Linked DNA regions of Saccharomyces cerevisiae S288C. The gene in region 1 interacts genetically with each later gene. Each region holds a gene or a part of one and is shown on either strand. Other genes may lie near its edges. The genes, in order: YFT2 and YHR210C.

Region 1 (3,363 bases):
TAGAGAAATGCTGGGAATACGACTGGAAGTCTTCAGCGAACGGACATCCCAATTTGAAAAACCTCACTATGTATTGTTGAAAAAGAGGATCAAATCGAATAGTTGGTTCCTGTTCAAGCATACAATCCCGAGTTTCATTGATGTCCAAGGTATATTTGATGACACCAATGGGGGACTAGTGATATCTCATGATGACGCCTATTTATTTGCTAAAAGAGTCTTCCTGCAACTTGTGGAAGTACAGAAAAGACGACAGATTTTTAAGGACTTAGAAGCTAAGAAGATAATCCACGACTTAGATTTAGATTTAGAATCTTCAATGGTTTCGTTTTTTGTGAAGGATATTAAAGTCGAGTTGTTTGTAAAACAAAATGAAATAGTTTCATGTTCAATATTGGACGATATTCATGATTTTAGTCAAAATAATAAAAGTAAATGGGAAATTGCATTGCTCGGTTCTTTGGATGATTTGGAATTAAAATTAAACCATTCTTTCGCGACAATATTCAAGTGAATGTTAACAAAAATATACTTTATAGAAAGAGGATAGAGCTAATTTTCTCTGTTTATCATAGATATAAGTAATTGTGTAGTATCCCAATTTTGGGTAGAATGTGGTATATGAAAACAGGGCATATGAAACCCATAAGGCAACCTAACACTTTTTCCAAGATAGTATGATAATAAATAGCGGTAACCCAGAGAATACATATCCAAATTACTAGGACAGCGCAAACAATGGCAAGGCAAGCTCGTACCCACTTATTCACAACCCAAAACATATCTTCAGCTTGAACAAATCTACTGAATAAGTGAAGTTCCATCCAAAGAATCATGCTTATACTCACAAGAAAGCAGAAGTGTCCACTAATGTCAAACCCACCATCCCATTTCCCATTTTCTAGACGGCACTTTTCAGCTGATGTCGTTTTACTACCAGAACTGCATTCTCCCCCTGTCCAAATGAAAACATGATCGATAAATTGGAAATTCAAAAACAATAATAGATATTTTAGAACGAACTTGCAAGCATATTGAGTGATCATAATACTGATTATTCTATTTTTGAGCAGAGGCCAATGGTTAGTATATGTTAAATAGGAAGAGCTAGTTTCGGTACTTGATATTGGTAAAGGCAATATATCCATTCTTGCTAGATAGTGGAAGTATATTTGCAGAAAAGCCAAACTAAAGAATAAAAATGGCCACAGTTGGTTCGCTTTGTATGCAAAAATAACATTGAAAATATTGGACGATTTCAATAGAGCGCATGTCTCTTTTTGATGGTTTAATGTTTCTGAAGATACTACTATTGATAATAATGCGCCTACAAAAACTTGAAAGGGGTAAATGAGATACGCCTTCCTTGACCAATAATTGAGCTGACGTATCATAATCTTTTTCAATTTTTAGTCGTTCAGTGGTTTTAATACAATGCCCTATTTCTATTGTGTTTTAACATTGTGATATTTTGAATTTTTTTTTTTTTTTTGCAGATTGTTTTTCATATTAATCAAATTGGGTGCCACTTGTAAGTCAATAAATGAAACTAAGCCTTTCCATACTTTTTCCTAACGCGCTTTGAAGAATTTGTTTTCCTATATATATTTGTATAAAGTACATATCAAAAACAACTGAGCGAAGCAGGCACACAAGGGAAATCAGTTAATGTCATTCTGCAGTTTGAACTTATCCCAAGCAATACTTAAAGTACTGAAAATATTCTCTGCAATCATCTTATTTTCCAGGGACAAGGACTCTGGTATCTTATCAGGATGTGTCTTGGCTACAGCTTTCATGTATGTAATTTTGACCCTCTTAGGCATAACCAAATCTTGCATAGAGACATCCTTCCAATTGCACCATGTTAGTAAGCTGGATAAATTTGCTAACAGATGACGAATGTCATCGTCTTTGCCATCCTTCCAGGAGCTAATTTTCTCAAATACTTTATCATATAGCGCCAGTTTAGCGTTTTCTAGCTCCCGTTTTTTTATTTCTGAAGTGCTATCAACAGAAATTGGAGAATTTGAAGAAGAAGCGGTTAAGTTCTGTTTTTTTGTTGCAGGCGAGGTTGTCGTTGTCTTCTTCTTAACGGGCATGGATTTTTTAACAGGGGGAGGATTAATAAAGTCTTGGCATCTTCTTTTTCCCTGCATGATTTTATCATCAAAAAAATTCTTCTTAATCAGCTCTTGGTATGTTTCTAGTGCTTTTTTGAAACTTTCTAAATGTTCAAAAGACTCAGCACGCCTAATCATAATCTTTGGCCAGATGTCGTTAAATGATCTTTCAGGGTCACTATTTGAGATTTTATTCTTCCACTTAGCTTTGCTTGATGGGAATAATTCCAAAGCCATGCTGGAGTTTTCTATGGACTTAGAGTACTCACCGATTTTCAGTTGCGAGGCAATAATGTTTGATAATGCAATGATCCTCAATGGATGATTTAAAGGCAATGTATTTAAAGACTTTTCATATTCTTGTAATGAGTTAATATAATCCCCGTTCTTGAACAAACTAGTACCTTTCGCCTTAAATTCGTTATACCCCGATAATTCAATATCTGAGATGGGTATTGTAGAGTCAGTGTTGCTGTTTTCATTGAAGAGGGTGCTATCTTCATTGCTTTTACTATTGGTGAGATTTCCTTCTGAAAAGTCGAGAAGACTATCCTCTATCAGGGGCTCATTTCTTCGCGAATTTTCTTCAATTAGTATACCAGAAGTCGGTGAGGAGGAGTGGGAGACATCAGGCGCTGTCCTCTTTGTTATATCAATCTTTGTTTCGAAATCAGTTAAAAGATCTTGATCCGGATTATCGGCAGGTGGTAAGTTCTCTACGACTTCATTATCTTCAAACAAAATTCTATTGGGTGAGTCGTTTACTTGAGGCAAATCATAATCCTCAACCTTATCATGAGTTTTTGAGTAATTATTCAGTCTATCATTTGCCTCAGGTGGGAAGGAGGTCCATTGGTCTACCAGTTTCTTACCCTTATTGAAAAAATCAGTGGCCATGCTGAATAAATTATTGCTATCTGTACCAACAATGTTGGATAATCCTGACTTTTCCATTTTTATACCACTTTCTTTCTTTCTTATAGCTAGATCGTTGCGCTCCTTTTGCTTTGACTTTAAAATCTCCAAATATCTTTCATAAGTTACGTCATTTTCGTAAAACTCAGTGGCTTCTTCAATTGATAAACCTAGAGACATCAATCTTGCTATTTCCATATCCTTAACTTCATCAACTAAGGCGTCATCACCATTGTAAAGGTGGTCTTCCTTGCTTCCATAGTAATCCTCATCCGGTTTTTGGATCGTATCCGTTGTAGTTACTGTGCCCATACCAAATAGTTGA
Region 2 (3,792 bases), on another chromosome or scaffold:
CTAGTAGCATATTTGAACTCTATTAGGATTAACACGAAGTTCTAATGATTTTTCTTTCTCGGAGTTAAAAGGAAACCCGAACGTTTGTTGCCTCTAGATTTTTTCCATATATTTTCCATATGTTCACTTTTAGCAATCGCCTTTGCTTGTCTGATTTAGTTGAAAACAACAGCATTTGATATTCATGAAAGTCTATTAAAGGAAGAAAGTAAAGAAACTTTCTTCGCCTGTTTTCTTCCTAGAATACTGTTATACCAATAGAAATTGAAGGTTTGGGAGAACTTTTGAGAAACTTTTTTAAATTTCAAGACCTGTGCTTTGAACGTGTCTCATTTCTGCGTACAATGCCAAAGTTGGAAGGTTTTCTTGCGTATGGTTCTAGTTCTTTGCCAAATTATTGATTTCAATCACGCTTTAAAGTTTTTTCTGGGTTTTCTCCACATAGGATAGTGACAAGAAGTGCGGTAGCCATGTGGTTTATTGCAGATCACAGTATGAAGGACCTTCAACTTACCTTATTTACTTATTAACAGGAAATTAAGCGTCATAAAAAACTACAGCGGTGATAGGAGCTGTGAAAGGATCCATATTGCTATCGTGAGTGAAAACGAAGACAACCTGAAAATAAGTATTTTTCCGCCGTTCTTCAACGATGTATTTAGATATCAGTCGATATTAACGTATAGGAGGAGGATCGATTATCGTGAAGATAGAAAATAATGACCGAAGAAGATTCCCTGGTAGCGCACACTTCAAACTAAGGGTTGGTCTCCGGTAAATATCAAGATTTGTACATTTGGCTAAGTGCTGGAACCCATGCAATTGATCTTATTGTGATGATTTGATGATATTCCTCCGTCAGAAAGTCCTAGAACACAACCTCTGGATGAAAACAGAAAAGAAAAATATGCAAGATGTTCAAGTGCGCGCGGAGCAAAAAAAAAAAGGAACAGAATACTAAAAGAATACGTCGCGAATCTCGTTATTGACAAGGCATGTTTGGATGAAAACATGTAATGCCCCATTCAGCTTATTTTTCAACATTTTCAGAGTAACACGCAGAAGAAGACTTTGTTTTTCCAAAACCTCCTTTTGCACTCAAAAAGAATGCCAGTTCAGCATGGCATATTGGAGATTATTTTTCATAAAACTGTAAGAATTGTAAAGCAAAACTGGTGCACTGCTACATCAACTCTTATCTTCTTGCATATAAATTTAAATGAAAAGGAACTACTTTGTAATTATCGATATTACATTGAAACCTATGAGGAAGATTATGACATGATAACACTAAACTATTGCTGGCCAGCACCCGAACCGAGTGTCCAAATTGAGTTTTGAATCAGTTTTCAGCTCAGAACAGATTCCCCTTTTCCTTTATTAGGTCGTATCATCATTCTATGTGCAACTACTGCAGCATTTGCGTATAATTATGGAAATAAAATTATACGAAAGTTGATACTTGGTTGTAAATGGCCTAAGAATCGGAAAAAATGGAATTCTATTGGCATGCTATCTTGTTTAATGAGATTATGAAGTTGAATATCATTTCTGCGTTTTGCATTCAAACAATATCATTTCAAAGGCCTATCGCTGTGAGCAATACGCTGGATTTGCTCATCGCACAGTAAGCCTGCACTACCCCACCAAATTACAAGAATATAGTAGAGATCAGAAGCTTATGAGAAGTCACTTCCAAAATTCGCGTTGTCCAACATCCTTGGAATAATTTTTCCTCCTTATGCATCCAGGTGATTGACACTTTTTGACGGGATAAATGCAGGTGGAGGTGGGGGAGGGGTAAAGTTTCGTAAAGAGTGTCAGGTCGCATATCTTTGCACTGCGCAGAAATTCTCGCAGAAAATTACGCTACGGAGAAATTCTCGGGCACTAATATCGTACAAAAATTAGGTTTGTTACGTGATAATATGGCCTTGTACCTGTTAAGTTTTTCCGACAATTAGTTACTAGCTGAATATCTTAAAAAAAGGTAAAAGTAACTCCTCCATGGTTTGGTTATTCATGCGTAAACACCTTGGATGCTCTGAGATATAAAATCAGAATGTACTACGAAGTACTGGAACTCAATTGTACATTATGTTACTGCAATAAGTAAATTCACCTAAAAAGCCAAAAAGTGATAATGTCAAATAATAAGGCTGGCGGTGAATATGAAGTCATCACTATTGGTGATGCAAAAAAGCTTCAAGCAACAATTTCAGAGCTTGGCGCTACTTTGCTTGACTTGAAAGTGAACAACGAATCGATTGTTCTAGGATACCCTGATATTCATGGCTATATATCAGATGGCTACAACTACATTGGTGCTACTGTTGGCCGTTATGCAAATCGTATTTACAAGGGCATGTTCAGTATGGAAGATGGACCTCATCAGTTGACAGTGAACAATTGTGGAAACACCAACCACAGTAGCATCAGCTCCTTCCATCTCAAGAAGTATAAGGCATCCAAAGTCCAAAATCCTCTTGATGACCTTTACATTGTTGAATTTACGTTATTGGATGACCGCACACTGCCCAATGAATTTCCGGGAGATCTAGCTGTAAACTTAAAGTACACATTGAACGTTGCTGACATGACCTTGGACTTGGAATACGAGGCAAAACTGGTCAGCGGTGAGGCTACTCCCATCAACATGACGAATCACACGTACTTCAATTTAAACAAAACTATGGATAAAAAATCCATTAGCGGTACGGAGGTTAGGCTCTGCTCAGATAAATCATTGGAAGTAAGCGAAGGAGCACTAATTCCAACCGGTAAAATCGTTCAAAGAAAAATTGCTACTTTTGACTCCTCCAAACCTACCATTCTGCAGGATGATGGCCCGATTTATGACTACGCTTTCATTGTTGATGAAAATAAGAATTTGAAAACGACAGACTCAGTAAGTGTAAACAAGCTCGTCCCTGCCTTCAAGGCTTATCATCCGGCATCACGACTTTCATTGGAGGTTTCAACAACAGAACCAACTGTCCTATTTTACACAGGTGACAACTTGTGTGATGGATTTACGCCGAGATCTGGCTTTGCCGTTGAACAAGGCAGATATGTTGACGCAATCAACCGTGATGGATGGAGAGACTGCGTTCTTTTGAGACGTGGTGAGGTATATACTTCTAAGACTCGATATCGTTTTGCGGTGTAGGCACCAAATTTAGTTGTTTACTTTGCACTGTCGCATTATTTTTCTATAAATTGAGCTTTTTATAATGAGATATGATCCGGAAACAGCTTTCTGAAGTGCATATGTTATAGTTAATATTAAGAATTTTTTGAGACTTTATTATGTTACCATGATTGCATTATCTTTTAATGTTAACAGTAACAAGTTTACGTATCGCTTTAAAACATAATTACATTCAGAGGTCGGAATTTAGAGCCAATAAAATTTTTAGAGCATATGTTGACGGTTTTAAATTACTCCCAACTGCGCAACAACACCTTATTTTCTTTTTGCCATATTTTAATATTTATTAGCATTTGGGAAATATTTAAAAAAAGAAAAAAATCAGCTTTTTATATATTTCTTTTAATTTAGTAAACCTCATTCTCTTTTCCTACATAAGTAATAAAACGTTGACCACTCTATTTTTAAAGGTACATTCAAATCTTCACAATGACAGATTTCTTTGAGCTCGTTAATGAATATATCGGCAATATCCGGTTTCGAGGGATTATCTCTAGCCCAAGAAGTGTATATGCTCCAGCTTTTCACAAACTCTTTAAATTGATTGAGAGTAATAGCTGCTCTCCAGAGAAACTGACTGT

What was found.
Region 2: mutations in YFT2 (region 1) and YHR210C together harm fitness more than expected from each alone (negative genetic interaction), as found in Saccharomyces cerevisiae (one large-scale study listed by BioGRID).

Annotation. Positions count from the first base shown.
Region 1 is NC_001136.10:1,104,434-1,107,796, forward strand, and holds YFT2 (Yft2p), read right to left. Parts: upstream 1,395-3,363; coding exon 570-1,394; downstream 1-569. Other genes in the region: MCM21 (Mcm21p), read left to right, coding at 1-514; auxilin-like protein SWA2, read right to left, coding at 1,662-3,363. UniProt on the Saccharomyces cerevisiae protein: Fatty acyl-coenzyme A (CoA) diphosphatase that hydrolyzes fatty acyl-CoA to yield acyl-4'-phosphopantetheine and adenosine 3',5'-bisphosphate. Preferentially hydrolyzes unsaturated long-chain acyl-CoA substrates in the endoplasmic reticulum (ER) lumen.
Region 2 is NC_001140.6:520,089-523,880, reverse strand, and holds YHR210C (aldose 1-epimerase superfamily protein), read left to right. Parts: upstream 1-2,143; coding exon 2,144-3,169; downstream 3,170-3,792. Other genes in the region: CRG1 (S-adenosylmethionine-dependent methyltransferase), read right to left, coding at 3,569-3,792.